4 linked regions of the Arabidopsis thaliana genome follow. The protein of the gene in region 1 interacts with the protein of each later gene in a pairwise test. Each region holds a gene or a part of one and is shown in the gene's direction. Other genes may lie near its edges. The genes, in order: AT2G25890, PRA1.E, AT5G56100 and TPI.

Region 1 (4,886 bases):
CATATATAGAACTATGAAATGGTCAGACTTTTTGCAGTAAGTGGTGCAAAGTGCCAAGAATGCAATCTTAAATCTTTTCCTAGCTTCATCGCTTCATCCTCTGTAAAGGCCTGATGGGTCTGCGTTTTGCACAATCCACGGGTGTTCAAGAAGCTTGTGCAAGGCCAAACGTTGCGTAGACTCCTTAACCAACATCTGTTTGATCAGAAAGTGTGAAAATCAGAATTCACTCTTCAAATGCACAAACACTTAGAGAGATTTACGAGGAATGCGAGTAGAAACCTGGCTAATCAGGTCCTTTGCAGATGATGACACAATGGGTTTGGGAGGGAACTTGAGATCCACTTGAACAATCCTGTATCATTTGTCGAACAAAACCCTTCTTTAATGTACATTCCACTGACCAAACATCATATACTAATCCCATTCTACGCTTAATGAACATGTTACCTTTTGTATGTCTCTGAATGCTCCCTGGCCTCAAAAGGAGGAACACCATAAAGAAATTCGTAGCAGAGAATTCCTAGACTCCATATATCGACACTCGCATCATGTTCAACGCTTTCCACTGTGAATCCAAAAGCAGAAAAGTCAATTAGCTGGTTGCCGAAGAAAGTAATTTAGAATCACACAAGAGAGAGAGAGCTTTCTCTTACCCATCTCAGGTGGAAGGTAATCCAAAGTGCCACACATAGTCCTTCTACGGTTGAATGTGTGTACTGACCATCCAAAATCTGCAATCTTGAGCTCACCCTGAAAACATATATCCATGAATACATAAACACATAAGCTAACTGCAATCACATGGCGTTGATGGAGAAAGATAACCAGATTCAATTTGTTACCTGAGCACCAATCAACAGATTTTCAGGTTTTATATCTCTGTGAATTACATGCTTTCCATGGCAATAGATGAGGGCTCTAGCCAATGACGCAACATACTGCCACAATAAACGTAAGGGTATGACTACACAGATTCACATTAACATGCTAGAATAAGTTCAATTATCACTAGGACTTACAGTTGCTGCTCGACGTTCGCTGAAGTACTTGCACTTCTGAAGCTCTTTATAAAGCTCACCCCTTACAGCATACTCCAAAATCAAATAAACTCTTTTCTGCAACAACGGTATCCCAAAAACTATGTTAACCTCACAGAGCCAAACATTGTATGTCAACAAGAAGTTCTTTTACAAGCACAGATAACACAAAACCTGATCATAGAAGTAACCGTAGAGCCGCAGAATATTGGGATGCCGAAGATGAGATTGAATCTCTACTTCCCTTCGTAACTGGTGTTCAACTTGAGATTGTTGAAGCTGAGCCTTAAAAAGAACCTTTAAAGCCACAATGTGATCGCTCTGTTTGCAAAGACACATAGAAGACAGCTTGGTTAAAAAAGACATCAAATTAATTCTGCTTGTTTAACATAATTGTGAAGAAACACTAACCCGTTTCTCTCTTGCTAGATAAACATGGCCAAACTTTCCTCTACCAAGTGGCTTTCCGATATCGAAATCGCTTGTAGTCCATCTCTTTTGTGCAGCCTCTGAAGCCGCCTGATACAACATTATCACAAAGATTGAAATCCAATCAACTCTCAGATACACTTAATCATAAACGACAAACAATCATTGATACTTTAAAACTTGAAGATAAAAGGATAAAATCAACAGCTCCTTAACACTAATCCACGGATTTGTCAATTAATCTAGGGTCCTCGCTGTAAACGAATAAATCCACAATCATATCATGAAATTTCTCAAAATCATACCAACAAGTCTTTCTCAAATTAAACAGAGAACATTGAAACAAGATTCTTTCTGGCGCAAAGAAAATCAAGCAACCAAATCGATAATCCCAGATCACATTCCATTAGAACAGACCAAACGCAGAGAAAAAACGCAAACCAACAAGGAAGTAAAACCCTAAATTGAAACAAATTCGACAAAAGAACCAAATGAAATTGGAATTTGTGAAACCAAGAACAAGTTATTTTCTTACAATTTGCTGCGTCTCTGTAGAAATCCCCATGGAAGAGATCGTTGATGAGCCAAGATAGCGAGAGAAAGAGAAGAAAGAAAGAGAGAAGAGAGAGTAATTTTCACAAAGGGAACAGATCCAAATTGAGAAATTTAAAAAGGGGAAAAAACGTAAACCACCAGCAAAGCAGCAACGGTCGAATCCAGATGCTGCCACGTGTTGATACATCTGCATCGAGGTTTTTATTTTCAAATAATTTGTCTCCCGAGATGATACAGTCGCTACAGGCCCAGATATTATTAAGCCCACGGTATTCCAACTTCATAATCACTAGGATAATATACAGTCACTACAAGCCCAGATAATAGCCCAATAAGCTTCAAGATCGTTTGACGATGAGATTTTAATTCGGAACTAAGTAACCACGTGTCAGTACCTCGTCAAAGTAGCTCCATGCAGAACTGACACGCCCGCGTGACACTCTTCTCCATTGCCTAACACGCCTCGTCGTTCGACACATGTCTCGTTTAAGTTTAGCCTCTCCTTCATACTAGTCTATTTTCATTCTTCATAATAATCACAAATGGTAAGCTTATTAAAGCTACAAAAACAACATAGAACATTAAATCCATACTCTCTTAGAAAAAGAAAAAAAGAAATGGCGGATCATCAACAACATCAGCAACAACAACAACCAATAATGAGGAGTCTCCATGAATCATCACCATCGACTCGGCAGATAGTGAGATTCGTAACGGCAGCTACGATCGGCCTATCACTCCTCGTGCTCTCAGGACTAACACTAACCGGAACGGTGATCGGTTTGATCGTAGCGACGCCGTTGATGGTTCTGTTCAGCCCGGTGTTGGTACCGGCAGTGATAACGATAGGGCTTTTGACGATGGGATTCCTATTCTCCGGTGGTTGTGGGGTGGCAGCAGCTACGGCGTTAACGTGGATTTATAAGTACGTTACCGGAAAACACCCGATGGGAGCGGATAAGGTGGATTACGCGAGGATGAGGATAGCGGAGAAAGCCAAAGAGTTGGGACATTATACGCACTCGCAGCCACAACAAACACACCAAACCACAACAACTACTCATTAGAGTTTAATAATTATATGGATCTATATGTTGTATTAAGTTTTATGATTATCCTACGTATGTTTTTTTAATACTGTTCTTACCTTTTTGAAAAGATCTATCTAAAATTTTATTTTCTATTTTCCATACAATTTTTTGTGTGTTTAATTGCTGATCGGTATTTTCTGTTTTATGATTGTGAAATAGCTAGTGTAAGGAAAGATGATAACGAATTAAGTAAATTAATAAATGCCAATTACTTGGTCACCGTCTGGCTTCTAGAATTATATGGTGGCTTTCTTGGTATATGTAAATGTAGTTTTGAGTGTGGTCCGTTTGATTTGAAATAATATTGTTGTTTTTATGTTCAAAAAGAAAATTGCAAGGTTTGTGAATTTTGTGTATCAATACCAAGGCTTGAACCACTTTATCTATACTCGCTAAATAAATTTCGAAGGCTGCGCTAAATGGCTCGTGTCATTTACGTTGTCTTCATGAACGTATTGTAGTTAGTGTGATTGTAAAAATATTTCTTTGTTTAATCATTCCTCAAAAATTGTATTCGGCCTTTGAGAGATGCGGTGAGGTCGTATGCATGTTTTCCCAAATTTCGAATACTTGCAAACTGTTCTATGAATGTGGTTTTTAGGTACTCATGAAATAATTGAAAACTTTACTTGTCTATATGTTCGTAAACCATTGGCATTGAATTGCATGGCATGGCTTACTATGCGCGCACCAACAAAATGCACATGCATGCTTCACGAACGTATAAAGAAGCTGAGGGTGGACAACATTCACTGCTTGTAGTGGGCAATGCAGTCTTGTAGAGCAGTTGTACTTTCAAACGAGGTTCTTTGTCAACGTCTGATTGGTTTTCTAGAATAATTGAAGGAGTACTTTTGTCCTTATCCTCGCAATGGACTGAGTAAGTTTCCTCCGCGGTTCCCTACTGGCCATGAGCTATGAATTTTTCAAGTGGTGGGTGCCAGGTGCCGGGTGGGTGCGGCGTTAGGATTATTCCTAAAGTTGAGGATCGATATACGGTTAAGTTTTTTTGTTATGGAGTGGTGTTTCGTAGTTTGTCATTGCATCAGTTTGATAATCTCTTTCTTCTAGCACCAGATTGTTTAGATAAATGTTAGGATATATGTGGAAGCAAAGGAATGATGTGGTTCACAACCAAGTCTCGATCCCAATATCAACTATCTTCAAGCTCATCGACAAAGAGATTCAGAACGTAAGCACCGCAAGACGTAAATGCAAGCGTTATTGCAACCTAATGCAAACTCTGGTTAATTTTAACTCCCACTATGTAATGTGACTTCTACATCATTTGTCTCTTTGTTTAATTTTTTGGCCAAAGATTCAAATCCATTGATATTCAGAGACAATAGTCTATATGGATTTATTAGATATAGTCTATATGGACTTATTAGATGATATTAACATTCATAGAGAAAACAACAAATTAGGATACGTTTTCTTTCTAATGAGAAAGTGAATGTACGAATGGTTGTTGGGAGGCTATTGTGTCTCGTAGATATTTTAAATAATTTGAATGTTTACTAATATAGAATGTGTATTCAATTATAACTATTTAAATTATTTTATTGTTGGTTTAGACGCATTCTTAAACTTTCACATCATTCTCTCGTGACTATTATAATAGTTATCGTGCTCGATCAATCATCTCGTGACTATTATAATTTTATCAATAGTTTATGCATAAGAGAACTGATAACGATCATACTTCTTTTTGTCATTATGATAGCTTATGATTAATCATTGTTTATCCATACTTGACGCTTGTAAGTGA
Region 2 (4,740 bases), on another chromosome or scaffold:
AGCAGTAAGCTTTTTCAATTGTATCTTTCTTGGCTTTATATTTGCAAAAGAAACATGTAAAGTGTCATTTCCTATTCATCAGCACTTGACTTGAAGCTGAGACCACTTGTTTGAGAGCATTGTTAAACTTGTTCTATTCATTACTATCTGCTGAATCTAAGTTTGTATTATACTTTCGTCTGTTTTCCTATCAGTCTCATGTTTTTCCATCTGAATTCGTCTGTTACTTCATACAATGTTATTAGTGTTTACTGTTTTCGATTTTCTGAATATAGCTTGTATATTTTTGGTTACTAGGCTCCACGGAGAAGCACATCGAGTGAGAAGTTGCCAAGCAAACAGGAGAGGGCTAATGTATTTGCAAGATCATCGAAGGAGCACAATAAGATACAGTCAACCAAGAAAGTCGAGCCAACTGCAGTGTTGGACACCAAAGATAAAACGAGTAGGCCTAAATCTACATCTGTCGAGAAGAAATCTGTTGCAGAGAATGGATTGCCTGGGAATTTGGTCAAAGTCTCTGTTAATGGTAAAAGATTAGCGGCGGCCAATATCCAATGGAGTTCACTCCCTCCATCTCTTTCGAGGATGGGACAGGTATGGCCTTGACTGCTCTTGGATCCTTATATGTGCTTGCTTCATTAATAGGCTTTGAAGCATTTCTAGTGATTAAGAAAATTCATCTTCAAAACAAGCAGTTTAGAAATTCGATCATCCAAACTAACATATTTACTCTGGTGATTGAAGAGAACCTCTTAGTATAGCATATGCATCTTATGTTTTGGTCTTTGACATCGTGATTAAATATTAAGACAGCTTATTGAGTCATTGCTGCTATCAATATTTGCAGGAAGTATTGAGGCATAGAGAAGCTGCTCAAGTAGTCGCAATAGAGGCCCTGCAAGAAGCCTCTGCTTCCGAGAGCTTACTTCAGTGCCTCATGTGCGTAATATCTTAACCAAGTTTTATTCAGGCCGGCTTTGGATGTTTGAGGGACAAAACATAAATGTTTTTTGTATCTGAATGTTATTGTTACTGCCTTGGTGGTTTCTGAACTTTGTTCTGCTTTTCCTTTTTGTAGTATGTACTCCGATCTTTTGTCAACGGCGAAGGAAGATGATCCATTGCCAGTCGTTGAGCAGTTCTTGAAGCTCCATTCCGGTTTGAAAAACGTCCAAGTAATAACAGAGTCATTGTCCAAATTACTCTCTTTGATGTCCTCCCCAGATAATGAAGAAAACAGATCCGAGGAAGCTATAAAAGCGGCATCGGAAAAGCAGAAATTGGCAGCCTCATGGGTCCAAGCTGCGTTAGTCACTAACTTATCGCCCTTCTCTGTCTACTCCAGCAAACAAGCCAAACTTGCTGCCTCCAGGAGCAAACCCGTGATCATACTCGAGAGCCCGGGTAATAATTCCTCTAGTAAAACCCGTGGGAATATTCAAAACAAGCCAACGATTGGATCTAAACTCGTAGCACAAGGAATGATCCGTAAACACAGGGAGAACAGTAGCAGCCAGAAAGCCACCTCGGTAGCAGGGTCAGAGTCTCCACCGTTAAACTGGGTGAAAGGGAATGGTCTAAACGAGGCAACTGATCTGGCAGAGAAGTTGCAAATGGTTTCACAAGATTGGTTTTTGGGTTTCGTAGAGAGATTCTTAGACGCTGACGTGATTACATCATCCAGTCTCAGTCTGTCTGATAATGGGCAGATTGCGGGGATGCTGTCTCAGCTGAAGAGTGTGAATGATTGGTTAGACGAGATTGGATCGAAAGAGGATGAAGAAGGGTTACAAGAAGTCTCTAAGGAAACAATCGATCGATTACGGAAGAAGATCTACGAGTATCTGCTCACACATGTGGAGTCAGCAGCTGCAGCACTTGGTGGTGGTGGTGGCTCAGTCTCTTCTCCTAGACCTAAACCAATCGAAACCAAAGCAAAGAGATAAATGATGATGAAGAAGCTTCTACTTGTTTTTTTTTTTTCTTGTATATATGAAAATTGGCGGTCAATTTCTTCTGTATAATTCAGGCATCACTAAGAAGCCTACCGACGTGAAATGTTGGTATTTTTTATTCAGTCAGATACTCACTAAAGAGAACCTATTGGTTCGAAAGATTTCAACATATTTTTTATCCATTAATAACGATATCTCTTCTCTAGCGATTAAAGATTAGAAGATCAGCAAAAACAAAAATATCATTAGAAGACTTAGATCCATCACAATTCTGTAATTTTACAAAAACTATGACGATTCATGATTATGTGGAAATAGAGGCGATCGGTAAAAGTTGATTTGTTTATGGTTTATTTGTAATAATAAAAAAACTACAAGGTCCCAAAAGAAAATAATAATCACCGAACAAGTCCCTCCCATCATCCCATATTCCACATGGACTCTTTGAAATCCAAGGTTTTGCCATTTGACCACAGATTTGTGTTATTTTCAAACACAAAATCAACCAATTCCGATGAATCAGAAACCTCCGCCGTACGGTTATGGCGGCGCTGGTGGTGGAGGAGTCGGTCCTTCTTCCACTTCCAACACCACAATCATCGGGACGTTGAGTGCACGCGCCAAGCAGACGACGCAATCGATGATCACGACGCTCCGTCCATGGCGAGAGATTCTCGATCTGTCCGCGCTCTCTCTCCCTCGCGGGTATGATGAAGCCATGGCGCATCTAAAGCACAACATCTCTTATTTCCGTGGAAATTACGCTCTCGCCGTTCTCGCCATTGTTTTCCTCGGCCTTATTTACCATCCGATGTCTATGATCGCTTTCATCGTCGTCTTCATCGGATGGATTCTTCTCTATTTCTCTCGAGACGCAAACGATTCGATTGTGATTTCGGGGAAAGAAGTAGATGACAAGATCGTGCTGGTTTTACTCAGCTTGGTAACGGTTTTGGCATTGGTATATACAGATGTGGGCGAAAACGTTCTGGTTTCGCTGATCATTGGTTTGCTCATCGTCGGAGCTCACGGCGCTTTTCGTAATACCGATGATTTGTTTCTTGATGAAGAAAGTGCTCGCCGTGGTGGCCTGGTGTCTGCCGGTTCTGGTAACCGGCCACCGTCGAGTTATACCCCAATTTGAGTAAACCGGTTTGGAGAATTACTCGTAATTTCTTGGGTTTTTGATTGAAGAAGCTAAGGGAATCAATTTAGGGCTTTGTATTTTGGATTTCCCAAAGATTCTTGTATTTATATTTTGGCGTGTGTGTTTCATTTTGTTTGAATGTATACAAATTCTGGGAAAAAACAAATTGGTGTTATGGTATTTTATAGAATTGCCAAAAACATAATTTCCGATAGAAAAAGAAAAGTATGCATTAACCAGATGAAATTTCATAATGAACAAAACCAGTATGTTAAATTCAAGAATCCTTTGGTCTACACTCACAGTAGAATCATAAACTGATGCAATAGAAGAAAAACAAAGTTGGGAATAACTACTAACTAGTCTTCTTCAAGATTGATAGAATCTTTGAACTTAGCATACAATACCTTCTTCAGCGCTGCCATTTGTGTTACAATTGATTCCTTCTCTTGCTCGAGTTTCTCAAGGCTTTTGCAGGTCGCTTCTTTCATCTCTTCTATCTTTGTTTCTACGTCGTCCCTCGGCACATGAGCAAACACTTCTCCTATTTGAAAACGCACCATCTCCTCATCAGCAAGGATCAACTCGTTCCCTGCATCCTCTAGATTTTCACACTTTTCCTGCATAAATCAATTGTTTTTTAATCAAGCTAGATGCAGAAACACACAGTAGAATGCTGTTTTAATCCCCCTAATGAAACGATTGAACAAGACAAGTATCCACTTATTATTGCAAAGTCCCACATCTCCCTTTTTGTTTCCTACACATGCTGAACTATCAACACCATTACAATATCTAATTACAGTGATCTGATATACCCTAGCAGGCTTATATTCACCAACGAAGGAGAAAGTTAAGGGAGCAGTGATATGTAAGAGTGCACGGATGGTATAAGCAGGTTACAGTAGATTGGTACAACCTAAAGAGAATGTAAAATGAGATATGAGAGTATAGAGATTCTCTTGTGGGGTTATCTGAATGAAGTAAAATTACAATTTACAACAATCAATAAAATCAGGAATTATCTCAAATAATCTTAATCATGATCCTACACTAGACCAACAACACTTATCATATACTCTCAGGATCATTGTAATTAGCTTTTGTATCGGGTTGTAGCAGTGCTGATTTCATTTCATCAACAAGGAGTTAATCAGTTAGCTGAGAGCAAACCGATGTGTAGTAGATTCATTATTTGGTGAATTCATTACGGGATTGGATCTAATCACAGTATTCCACCACCTAAACGATGCAACATAGCGAATTGAATCCATGAATAAAACCTAATCTTAAAACCCTAGAATCGTGTAGAAGAAAAAATCAAGGATACATAAAAGAGAGAACCTTGGCGGATTTGATATCGTCATCGAGGTCATGGACTCTGTTGTTGAGACGGCTGAAGATATTAATGTTCTGCTGGTCCTCCCATGTCACCTCCATCTCAGATCCACTCTTACTCCCCTGCAACATCATCATCAACCATCCATTAGCATCAATTGAAGAAGATGCTAACAAAATAAATTACTCCTATTCGAGATGATTTTCTTACTTGCTGCTGCATTTTCGTCGCACTCTGGGGATTCAGGCCAAATTTCAATAGAACGTTGCTGTGTGAGAGAGAGTTGTGAGTTTCTT
Region 3 (4,849 bases), on another chromosome or scaffold:
CACAGCAAAACCCGAACCCGGAAATATTCGGGTCGGGTCGAAGTTGCAGAATGAGATTTGATTTGCCATACTTTTTGTCGCCTGAACGCAAAAACCTTGCTTAAACCCTAGAGAGATAGAGATGTTTCGGGCGGTTGGATCGGCTCTGAAGAGGAACAAAGAAGCGTTTAATGGAATTGCTCGAGGATTCACCACTTCGTCTCATCGAGTTTTCACTTCTAACATTACAGCTGCTTCTGTAACCTCTGCTTCGTCTTCTCCTTTAGCTGGAAACTCCTTCTATGGCTTGCGATCTCTGCTCAAGGTAGTGTGAATAATTTCCCAAAAAGGTTGATACTTTTTCGTTAAAGGTTGAGACTTTTGATCAGGGTTATGTTAAACTTGAGATTTTTGGTTACTTTTAGAGGATCCTGAGATTGGGCTCTGATCAGGATTATGTTTTGTGTAGGGTCAAAATGCTTCAATGTTTAGGAGGATGTCAACTGTAGCGTCGATAAGCTCAGAGAGTAAAGAGGGTTTGAAGCTTCTTGTCACTGGAGGACCTCAAGCTCAGAAATGGGTTGGAATTTGGCTTTTTGGTTCGGCTGCTTGGGTTTTCAGCATGGTTGTACTTGGCGGTGTAACCCGATTAACTCGATCTGGTTTATCGATGACTGATTGGAAATTTACTGGTGAATTCCCTCCTCTGTCAGATGAAGCTTGGGCTAAGGAGTTTGAGAAATATAAGCAGTCACCTGAATATAAGCGGTTAGTGTTTCGATTTTGGTAGCTAAAGCTGTTGCTTGCATTTGCGTTTTCTGTATTTGGACGAAGTCTTGATCTTGAAAATGCTGTTTGTGTTTTGGGATTTGGTGTTTTGTAGTGTGAACAAAGGGATGAACCTTGAAGATTTTAAGTTCATATATTGGATGGAGTATGCTCATCGAATGTGGGGAAGAGGATTGGGAATCATGTTTGCTTTGCCGTTTTCTTATTTTCTGCGTAAAGGGTATATTACTCTACGTCTTGGAGTTCAGCTCTCTGGTTTATTTGCGCTTGGTGCTGGACAAGGTTTCATTGGTTGGTGGATGGTTAAAAGTGGTTTAGAGGTAAGCATTAGGAAGTGTGGTAGATCCTCTTATTAGATGTTGTTATGTGCTGAATATTGTGTAACCAACCAGTAATCAGTTTGGTCTTGTAGGAGCCACCGTCTGAGTATTCTCAACCGAGGGTAAGCCCATACCGTCTTGCAGCTCACCTGACCTCAGCTTTTGCCATTTATTGTGGACTTTTCTGGACCGCTCTCTCTGTTGTTATGCCTGAACCACCAGCTGAGTCACTGGCTTGGGTTCGCGGAGCAGCTAAAGTGAAGAAGCTTGCATTACCAGTAAGCTTGATTGTTGGTATCACTGCAATTTCAGGAGCATTTGTTGCTGGAAATGATGCTGTAAGTAAACTAACAAAGTTGGATCTAAGCTTCTATTATATTAGTTACAGAAAGGAAGCTTAGTATATTGATCTCTCTGTTTGTGAATTTTAGGGTCGTGCATTCAACACATTTCCCAAAATGGGTGACACATGGATCCCAGATAATATATTTGAGATGAAACCACTTTTACGCAACTTTTTCGAGAACACAGCAACTGTTCAGGTACACCATTGACACAAAGCTTTCTCAATTTGCTTCAAGAATCTCAAAAAGACTGAAAAATTACTTAAATTTCAGCTTGATCATCGCCTTCTGGCAACCACAACATTAATCGCAATCGGAACAATGTGGTGGTTCACAAGGAAGCTAGACATACATCCAGCTGTTAAAGCTTTGATCGGAAGTACTGTTGGAATGACTGCTGTTCAGGTAAAATCAATCATCATAAACTTTAATGGAAACCTAAAATCAAAACCATTGATAAGGTTTCCCTTTTTGTATTTTGCAGGTGACATTAGGTGTATCAACGCTTCTGAGTTATGTTCCGGTTTCACTAGGAAGTGCACACCAAGCAGGAGCTTTAACACTTCTCACTTTGATGCTACTTCTCAATCACACTCTTCGGAGGCCATCACCTTCTCTTCTCAAATCTCTTCCACAAGTTGCTAAATCAAATTTCAGCTAAGCCCTCTTCACCAAAATCTTTCCTTTTTCATTATTTACTAAAAAAACAATTCTTTGGCTCACTATGCTACTAGCAAGCTTTCATCGAATCTTGTGTCAATGATGTTGTATGGTTCGAAAAATAAAGTACAAAAACAATTAACAAAAGTTTCATATGAATCCCAGAACTCTGATAACTTTCATTGATAGCTTCGTGTTGTTTGTTTCATTGCCAATAGAAAATCATTGGATAATTCTAGTTTTAGAGTCAATAATTTCTTATACCAATTTGGTTCAGTGGTAAATTTTAGTTCGGTTTTAGTTTAGATACGATTCGGTTAATTCAGTCCGGTTCAAATCCGTAAGCCTTGTGGTTGTGGATAATGTTTCGAGACAGTTTTTTGGCGTTTTGGATATACAAGACTATCCACGTGTCGTAATACTGTAGCTTATCGGTATCCACGTGTCAGTAGCCTACCATCTTCCTTTCTATATAGCCATGGTACAAAATTCTTTGTTCAACTTCACACTACTACTATGGAGAATCCTGGAGGAAGGAGAAGAAGAGACATAGCCATAACCGATGGAGAAAGAACGACCGGTTCTTCGGTTGTGGCTGCAACCGTAGCAGCTGTTGCAGTGGTAGGACCGCTTTTTGGTCTGATGAGTTTCAGCTTTGTGGCGACGGTGACTCTGTTTCTGATCGCTTCTCCATTGCTGCTGATATTTGCTCCAGCTTTTATGGTAACGGTAGCGGTTCTTGTGTCGGCTATGGTTGGTGTTGGGGTAGCTGCAGCCATGTGGATGATGGGAATAGCCGCTTTGGTATGTTGTGGCCGAGAGATTGGTATTGAAACCGGACTGGCTGGGAGGATGGTTGAGTCGGTGGTGAGAGAATTAGGTTACGGTCGGAGTCGTTACTTGCGAGACAAATCAGAGGATAGTTATTCAACTTCTTCTCCTTCTTCTCGGGATTACTCTTCTTCTTAGTTCAAACTTGGAAAAAGTCTCATGATTCATGGGAATTTCAAGAAGATGGTGAATAAAGAAACAAAAAAAAACAGAGACATGGCTATGATAAGAAAACAAAATTAAGTAGATTTTTTCGAGAGTGAAAATTTGTAATATCTATCCAAAGAAAATCTAGTAATGCTATATCATTTTTTTCAAGTTGTGTTTTTTCCCAAGTCAAGACAAATAGCAAACAGATGAAAACCAAAAATAATAGAATAAATAAATTGTAAGTTTCTTTAGGTCAAAACAGATTGTTAAGTTTAATTGATATAATAATTTTCAAAGATAAAATTAATCACAAGTTGTGGGGGATGGATTATCCGAAGTACAATCACCATGTCTATCTGAATTGTTTGAATTATCCAAATCCACATTATCCGGATTATTATCCATATTATCGAAAACATAGTTTTCCAATTTTTTTTTTTTTTTTTTGATAAAATGTGAATTATATTACCAAAAGGAAAGAGGTTATTTACAAAGCTGGGGGCAAGGAGCTTCTATGGCCAAAAAAAAATAAAAAGCCTTAGATAACTATTACAGAGAAACTGAAACTAATTTTCCAATGTTAACAAGATAAATACATATATGTCTGTAAAGTATAATGTATTAATTATCAATTGATTTTGAATTAGAAGTCTAAGAATTTTATAAGTGTCTCTCATCTAATTTTCAAATTCAAAAGTATACTACTATATCTATTCCATAAATATTACTATATATTTACATTTTGATCGATATTCAAGTTTGTAATAATGTGGATTTACCACTACTTGTTTACAACAAAAGATGACACAAGTAGGGTCCTTCGTGATTTAGAACAAAAGGTACAAGTTCGTACGCGAAAAAGGTACTTCTACAAGATTCTGTGCTTTTCACGAATGCTCTCATAGTCTCACTAATGCACACGAACGCTTTCGCAATATTCTCCGTACTTGTCGGTACTTCACGAATACATTCCCTTACAAAATGAAAAAAAAGTTGTCATAACTTTTTAAAAAAAATCGTGTCATAACTTCAATATGATCACAAATTATATTAAAAAAGAGTACAATTTCACTTCATAATCCAAAGGCTAGTTTGTTATCCAAGTCGTTCTACCAATCCCCAAAATGTTTAAAAGTTGGAGTTTGCATAGAGAATATCAGAAGAATTATATAATCTAAGTGTAAATATATGAAGAATATAATTTTATGGGTGAATAATCTGAATGTAAAAGGAGTTGACCAGGCGTTGAGTGGGTGACCTACCGGCTTAAGGGAATCACACGCTCTGTAGCGTTGAATTCTTTAAAGAGTTTAATCAATTCATGCACATCTGATGCTAATTTTTACTATGTTTTCATTTTTGTTAAATCAATTTTATTATATATATACATACATTTCCTTTCTTCTTTTGCAATTTAAAAGCCTTGATTACAAGAAAGTACAAAAATCAAAAGTTTGGCAGTTTTAATTCTTTGGGTGGGGCAATCTTTGATATATATAAGTTTTTTTCATTTCTTAACCAAATTTTCTTTTTTCTCGTTAGTAAATTAAGTAAAGAGTAATCAAATCGATCAAGAGATAAAAACTAGAAAGAAAGAAAGAAGAAATGGGTCGGATTCCATGTTGTGAAAAGGAGAATGTGAAGAGAGGACAATGGACTCCTGAAGAAGACAACAAATTGGCTTCTTATATTGCTCAACATGGTACTCGTAATTGGCGTCTCATCCCTAAGAATGCTGGTAATTTAAATTTTCTCTATATTTTTTTTAATGTTTTA
Region 4 (7,075 bases), on another chromosome or scaffold:
GCTAACATTTTCAAGTTTCAAATCTTTGAATTTTGCTTTGGGAATTTATTTTTTTCCTCTTTTTAAGAAACTAACAATATACAAGTTGGATGAAAAAAAGAAAGAAGCAAACGCAACATTCTACGTTTGCGTGAAATTTTGGATTTCAAGTTAGATAACAGACGAAAAAATAGAGATTGAATCTAATTTTTCAAAATAATCAATTTTTGTTTTGCATATTTTTTTCAACGTTGTTTTTCAACTTTATACATATGCGCAATCAATGCATTATCTCTGATATAAAAAAGGGAAAGAAAAAAAAACAGTGCATTTTTCACGCCAATCATCAATTCACTATTAATAATTACAATTTCTTTTAGTTAAAGAAAATTAAAACTAGGTAAAAAAGTTAAGTAAACAAAAAAAAAAAAAACTTTCCCACTAGCAAATATCAAATTCAAAGTTGAGATTTCAAAATTTTTTATCTGAAATTTATACAATAATGAACATCAAACTTAACTTTAATTTTATTTACCAAAACCAAACAAATATTCTACTTATTCCTTAAAATAGAAAAATCTGAAAAATAGAGAGAAAGCTGACCTTAACATCTCTGACACCAGCACGAACCAAAGCGTTGTTAAGATTCCTCATCGCCGGTAAGAGATTATTGATCATGTTATTATCTCCGGTGAGCAGAATCTCATTTCCGACTGAGATATACTTAATCTTCGTCTGAGGATGAAACGGCAAAATGTTAACCGAAACCCACCGACGAGCTTGTCTTCCGTTAGCCAACGCCGGAATATCACCGTTAGGAACGGTGACAACGACGGAGATACCAGTTCCAGCGAAGGCACGTAGGATATCGGGATTCACATCGAAGATCTTGACGCTATCAATCGAAGTTTGTGTCTTGATAAAGTTAGCCACCTGAGTCGGTGGTGGGAGGTTTCCGAGAGTTCCGTAGTTAACACCGATGGCGGAGATCACGGCGGGGATGGTGAGGAATACGGCGGCGCAGAGGAGGAGGAGAAGAGAGATTGACGGTGGCGCTTTGGCCATCTTTTTATATTTCGGAAATGAGAAAACCAAACGATTCCAAGTGAAACCCGTGAATCGTTTGAGTTGTGTTTTTATTATTACGACGAATAGATTTTTTTATTCTTATCGAGAAAGTATTTATAATAAAAATTAATAGATATGACCGTTTTGTATAGCGTATACGTGTGTATATTTTTAGTGAGGAACAGCTGGATTTTGTGGAAAGCAAAATAAAAGAAGAAGTTTGTGTTGTCTTTGTTTTTCATGTGCGTCGGCTTAAATTTAGGCCGTTGTAAATTATTGAAAAAGTGGATTTTGTTGTGACCGTGGAAACTTTAGTTAATTAATTTGGCTAATTATAGAGTCTGCTTTTGTTTGGATAATCAATTTGTCATCTTTTTCTTTAATGGTTTTTGGCTGGTAAATACTCATACTATCCAAGTTTAATCTAAAAATATACCTCTTTCTTGTTAATCGTAATTTTACAATCCTAATTTTATCCAGATACGGATGAACTATATTTGAAAAAAAGGAACTAAAGTGAAGTTAAGAAAACAAAAGAGAGATCGAGTGTTGTTTTTTCTTGGATACGTTTATTAAAAGATGTTCTTAATGAGGTCAAAGGAGACTATCTGAGTTTTTACTGCTAAACTTAAAACTAAAAAAAAAATCGATTAGTAATATTGATGTATCAACGAAATGTATATGGTTAAATATTAAGTGAAAAGAAAAAGAAGAGAGATCGACGCGGTTTGGGATAATGCCATTGGCCCATTGGACACGTGTTTGTAGGAGGAATAGTTTGGAGTTTGAACACTACGGACCAAAGTCAAAGAGATTCGAAGTATGAAGATGTTGTTGAGGAAGCTGATTCGAAGTAACTTTTACCGACACGCTTTAGCCATTTGTTATGCTTTCTTTGGGAAAAGAAGATCCGCGTCCATGTCTCATTGTTAACAGTTTATTGTCATTTTCAATGACATGGTTACACTCATTGCACACACACACAAACCACGTAATTTTGTATTTTTTTAATTAAATCCCATCCTTATTTTTTGCAATAACAAATTACCATTGTTACTTTTTAATGATATCACATAAAATAATCGATGCCACTCGATAGCCCTTTAGACTAACAATATGTTTGTTGAAGTATGCCACAATGTTTGAAGTGAGCCGGCTCAATGCTCTCATGGTGGTTTAGTAGTTTAACTTGAGAACTTACAACAGTTTTCTCCTTCTCCACACTATTTGTATCCAAGAAGGGGCATTACAATATAGAATTGCATAATACGATTTAAACTTTTACCAAAAAAAAAAAAGAAAAAAAAAGAAAGAATTGCGTAATACAGAATTTATCTTTAAGGGAATACAAATATAATTTGGTTTCAGAATCATCTCAATAGGCTTTCCTTTAACCAAACTTGGGTTTTATTGATGTGCTTGCTTTAATGGGCCTAAAGCCCATACAACAGCATCACTATCCACGCCGTTGTCTATTCTTATTATTCACCCCACCCGGTACACCGACCAAACCTTGGCCAACACGTCCATAATATTTCATCCTCCCTCCTAATTTACTTTAATATCCTCAACTTTCCTAATCGTTCAGGGAATATTCTCATATACCCTAGACATATGCGTCTTTTCCAATCTAAAATGTTGAGAGTATATTTTTATTTATATATATATGAGTGACCCCTGCGAGAGACAACGGCCACTGAACACTATCGATCTAATCTTTTCAGCTCTCTCCATCGTCGTCGTATCTGTGACTCTCGTGATCATCGCCTGAAAAAAATTTGAGATAATGGCCAGAAAGTTCTTCGTCGGAGGCAACTGGAAATGTGTAAGTGATCTTTACCTTCTATTGCGCACCTTATTATTAGTCTTGTCACTTGATCCTTCCCCGATCAAGTCAAAGAGATCGGAAAATCCCGATCTTAAGATCTAAGGTTTTTTTCATTATTTGTAGCGGTGGAATTTGAATTGTAATGCATATGGTTCAGATTTGTCGATTCTATGCCGGATCTTAGTTGTTTTTTTTTGTCAAAATTTTGAGTAGGAATTTTTCTTCAATTGATATCTCGTGTTCTAGCTTTGGTGGATCCGTGTGTTAATTTTGTTGGTTAAACTATTTTAACATGTTAATATTTGAATTTGTAATCTTATATAGAACGGAACTGCTGAGGAGGTGAAGAAGATTGTGAACACTCTTAATGAAGCTCAGGTTCCTTCACAGGATGTTGTAGGTATGTGTAGCATCTCAATTGCTTTGACGACATTATGGCTTTTTTTTTAATTTCCATGTCTATGAAATCTTAAGTAGTGACAAATATTTTGGGCATACAATTACAAACCTGTTTCAATGTACATCGATGTTCTATAGTGTTTATGCTTCTTAGGAACCATGGATAGATCTAGTGTTTGTTGTTAGTTAAAATGTTCTTTATCATATACTTGTTATGGTTCTATCTTTGTTGATAGTTATAAGTATGTTTGTTCTTGTATTAATAATTTGATGAAATTTTACTAAATGCAGAGGTTGTGGTTAGCCCTCCATATGTTTTTCTTCCCCTGGTTAAGAGCACATTGAGGTCTGACTTTTTTGTTGCGGCACAAAACTGTTGGGTTAAGAAAGGAGGTGCTTTCACTGGTGAAGTGAGGTGAGATTCTAACCATTGGTGTATACTTTAAGCTGTTTTACCATTATTGCTTCATGCAGTAAATATTTATGGTTTTGAAAATGAATATGATTGTGTTTATAAACGAATCGATTTTTCCATCTGTTCTTCTTCTTTATCTTCTTTCCTATAAGAATTGTGTAACCTAAGTGATTAAGAAAACAACTAGTAGTTGGTAGTAAGACCATGATTGGATTCGTGCCTGGTTAGACAAGTAGGTGTAATATGATTTACCTGTCTATGGAATGCTTTCATAGGAAGAAAAGATATATTCTGTGGTGCCTGTATTTCCTGCTCTTATGCATTGTGTAATTTGTGTGTTTTAGTGCGGAGATGCTTGTGAACTTGGATATTCCATGGGTTATCCTTGGTCACTCTGAAAGGAGGGCAATCCTTAATGAATCAAGCGAGGTTGGTGACTTTACATGATAAAATAATTTTCTGGAGACTCAAATAGCTTTTAAATTCATGATTTTGGTTTTTGACCTCTATCCTACATTTGTAGTTCGTCGGAGACAAGGTTGCCTATGCACTTGCTCAAGGTTTGAAAGTGATTGCTTGTGTTGGTGAGACTCTTGAGGAGCGGGAAGCTGGATCGACCATGGATGTTGTGGCTGCCCAGACCAAGGCTATTGCCGGTATGTATATTGTCAAACATTTAATCTCTTTTTGCTATCTCAGTTCGTTCTCGTTTACAGTGAGACCTGTTTTGATGATAGTGATGCCCGTTTCTACGCACTATACTCCCTTAGTGTGTGATTCAAACCCCACAGAAATATTTGTTGGCTAAAAAACTCTTTTTGTTGGTAATGGCAGATCGGGTGACAAACTGGTCAAATGTTGTCATAGCCTATGAACCAGTGTGGGCCATTGGAACCGGAAAGGTCGCTAGCCCAGCCCAAGCTCAAGAAGTAAGTGGTTCTCGATGCGCAGTTGCACTGTAACGTGTTGCATATGGTCATGATTTAATAGGAAAACCAATGCTGTTTTCCTTACGAGAGCTTGTTTCGTTTATGAACAGGTACACGATGAGCTGAGGAAATGGCTGGCCAAGAACGTGAGTGCTGATGTCGCTGCTACAACCCGCATCATTTATGGAGGTAGATAGATGATAACACGATCTTTAATTAAACACCCCTATATAGTTTTCTATGTTACTTAGCTTGATTATGCAAATTATTATCAGGATCCGTCAATGGTGGTAACTGCAAGGAGCTAGGTGGACAGGCCGATGTTGATGGTTTCTTGGTCGGTGGTGCTTCTCTAAAGGTACATATAATATGGTTTCTCTTGTAATGATATCTTTCGTTTGTCTCTTTCAAAACCATGACTAATGTTTTCATTCTTGGTCTTTTTGCAGCCTGAGTTTATCGACATCATTAAGGCCGCAGAGGTGAAGAAAAGTGCCTAATGAGCTCATTAAGCAATTTAAAAGTCCTTTGCTTTTCCAGTCGCAACTCTGAAAAAATGAATAAGTTGGTATTATGATATGATACATTTTGCTTCAGTTGTATTTGGCAAAAGTTTCTCTCTTACTATATTGTTTTGAGAACGCAACAATCATTTTCTTCGCCATTTATTTAGCTGTGGACTTGCAATTTGCAAATCCCTTCCTTTTACAGTCTTCTCAACTCTTCAGAGAATCTGTGTTTGGAGTTCATAACCCCTCGGGCCTTTTGATCAAACCCCTATTTCTAATGTCGTCCGATCATAAACCTGTGTGTTATATAATATGTTGTTTGTTCCATTTTAGACTTTGGTATTTTGTCATGCTTGATCTCTGAATCATGCTGTCAACCACTTTGAAAATGGCTTTACTTGTTAAATAAATGACGAGAGAATACAGGAGAAGTGGGAAATGACTTTATTTTTTCCCTTTTATCGCTTTTTGCCTATTGGTCTGTCATTTTTGACATTTTAGCTTTTAGAACATTATTATTTTCAACTTTATTGTCATCATCTTGAAAAATGTCCAACATTACGAAATTATTATGTAGAGAGTAAAAAAGGAAAAGAAATTTCATGGAGAAACTCATTGTATTAGGAATGTCAATGTTTGTAGAAAACAAAATGCTTATGTAATTTGAGTAAAACGGCTCAGTGGAACTAAAGTGATAATGTAAAAGAGACGGTTAAGTCCAAAATAAGAGCTCCCGTATGTCAGAATTGTTCAAACCATTTATTAAAAAATTGGACTCAGTATGATGAAAATGTGTATGGATTTTGATCCGACCACGAAAATCCAACTAGTGCCAATAAAAACTCCACAATATGTGACTCAGCTACAAATGTGATAACGTATTATCTCCCAAGTCAACCCACATTTCTGGTGACTTATATTTTATTTATTTCTGAGTAATATTTAAGAAAGTAGGGATTGAATTTTTATGAGTATTATATTATATAGTTGACCTTGGACTTATTTGCGTAACGAGCAAACAATTGTGACCTTAGAAATGGAGGTTTGACTAAGTCATCGATCATTTCAGCAATAGAGTAATTTTGGGTCCGTATGACTCAAAACAAGTTTTGGTAAAAAATTTCTCTGTTTTAAAAACTTGTATTTATAAAACTTATGTCCCATCCCATGATACTAAATTTAATTACATTATACGTATGTAGTCAAGCATAATTTTTTCCTGAAAAATCTTATTTTTCTTACCTACTTGTAAACTTTAATTTAATTCCTGGTTAAGTAGATATTTTTCTTAGTTCTTACAAATCTTATATTTTCTTACCTACTTTTATAAACATTTTTGAGACCACTATTACTAAACCCGAATCTGTTTCATCATTCCACACCCAAAGCATATAAATCGAAAATATCTATGATCACATGAATATCTATCATTTTCGACAAAATTTGTCCTTTTTTTTCTTTCTTTTTGTATCCAACCCCACCACGGCGAATTTATTTCAGGCCTATTAAAGATTCCAAAATCTCATGACCATCTGACTCAGATGTCATATCTATTAAAAACGTTATTTTGAATCTTAAACATATATCATTAGTGATCTTTTTGCACGTTTACTCAGATGCTTAAGATCATCAAAATCAATCTATGAATTTCAAAAGTTTTAAAAATCATACAATAGAAAAGTCCCACTGATCATTAAATTGTTATTACTAATTTTATTTAGAACTCGTTTATTATCTTTTGGTCAAAAATATAACTTTTGTCTGAATTCGTTTTTTTTTTGTTTGGACAAGAAAAAGACCTTTCTTCTTCCTTCGGTTGCCTCTACCATCTCATCAACACACATCTTCTCTTTCTCTTCTCTCATCCTCTCTCTTCTTCAGTGTTTACTTTTTCTCTTTCTCTTTTTTTTTTCTCTTTATTATTTCGCTTTAATGAGTTTTATCTGAT

Evidence for each region.
Region 2: the proteins of AT2G25890 (region 1) and PRA1.E interact in a protein complementation assay, tested with the Arabidopsis thaliana proteins (one large-scale study listed by BioGRID).
Region 3: the proteins of AT2G25890 (region 1) and AT5G56100 interact in a protein complementation assay, tested with the Arabidopsis thaliana proteins (one large-scale study listed by BioGRID).
Region 4: the proteins of AT2G25890 (region 1) and TPI interact in a protein complementation assay, tested with the Arabidopsis thaliana proteins (one large-scale study listed by BioGRID).

The regions. Positions count from the first base shown.
Region 1 is NC_003071.7:11,034,794-11,039,679, forward strand, and holds AT2G25890 (Oleosin family protein), read left to right. Parts: upstream 1-2,509; 5' UTR 2,510-2,566; coding exon 2,567-3,091; 3' UTR 3,092-3,386; downstream 3,387-4,886. Other genes in the region: AUR2 (ataurora2), read right to left, coding at 94-195, 283-355, 451-568, 657-753, 846-941, 1,023-1,118, 1,215-1,361, 1,452-1,559 and 1 more.
Region 2 is NC_003070.9:2,806,461-2,811,200, forward strand, and holds PRA1.E (prenylated RAB acceptor 1.E), read left to right. Parts: upstream 1-2,299; 5' UTR 2,300-2,472; coding exon 2,473-3,102; 3' UTR 3,103-3,315; downstream 3,316-4,740. Other genes in the region: AT1G08760 (GPI-anchored adhesin-like protein, putative (DUF936)), read left to right, coding at 1-4, 298-597, 851-942, 1,082-1,949; AIP3 (ABI3-interacting protein 3), read right to left, coding at 3,465-3,725, 4,450-4,566, 4,655-4,666. UniProt on the Arabidopsis thaliana protein: May be involved in both secretory and endocytic intracellular trafficking in the endosomal/prevacuolar compartments.
Region 3 is NC_003076.8:22,714,513-22,719,361, forward strand, and holds AT5G56100 (glycine-rich protein / oleosin), read left to right. Parts: upstream 1-2,404; 5' UTR 2,405-2,608; coding exon 2,609-3,061; 3' UTR 3,062-3,337; downstream 3,338-4,849. Other genes in the region: COX15 (cytochrome c oxidase 15), read left to right, coding at 122-304, 449-747, 863-1,088, 1,181-1,426, 1,520-1,630, 1,706-1,837, 1,917-2,093; MYB80 (myb domain protein 103), read left to right, coding at 4,679-4,811.
Region 4 is NC_003074.8:20,550,961-20,558,035, forward strand, and holds TPI (triosephosphate isomerase), read left to right. Parts: upstream 1-2,442; 5' UTR 2,443-2,833; coding exon 2,834-2,872; intron 2,873-3,199; coding exon 3,200-3,275; intron 3,276-3,565; coding exon 3,566-3,689; intron 3,690-4,033; coding exon 4,034-4,118; intron 4,119-4,212; coding exon 4,213-4,345; intron 4,346-4,523; coding exon 4,524-4,618; intron 4,619-4,728; coding exon 4,729-4,807; intron 4,808-4,893; coding exon 4,894-4,976; intron 4,977-5,067; coding exon 5,068-5,118; 3' UTR 5,119-5,600; downstream 5,601-7,075. Other genes in the region: AT3G55430 (O-Glycosyl hydrolases family 17 protein), read right to left, coding at 583-1,044.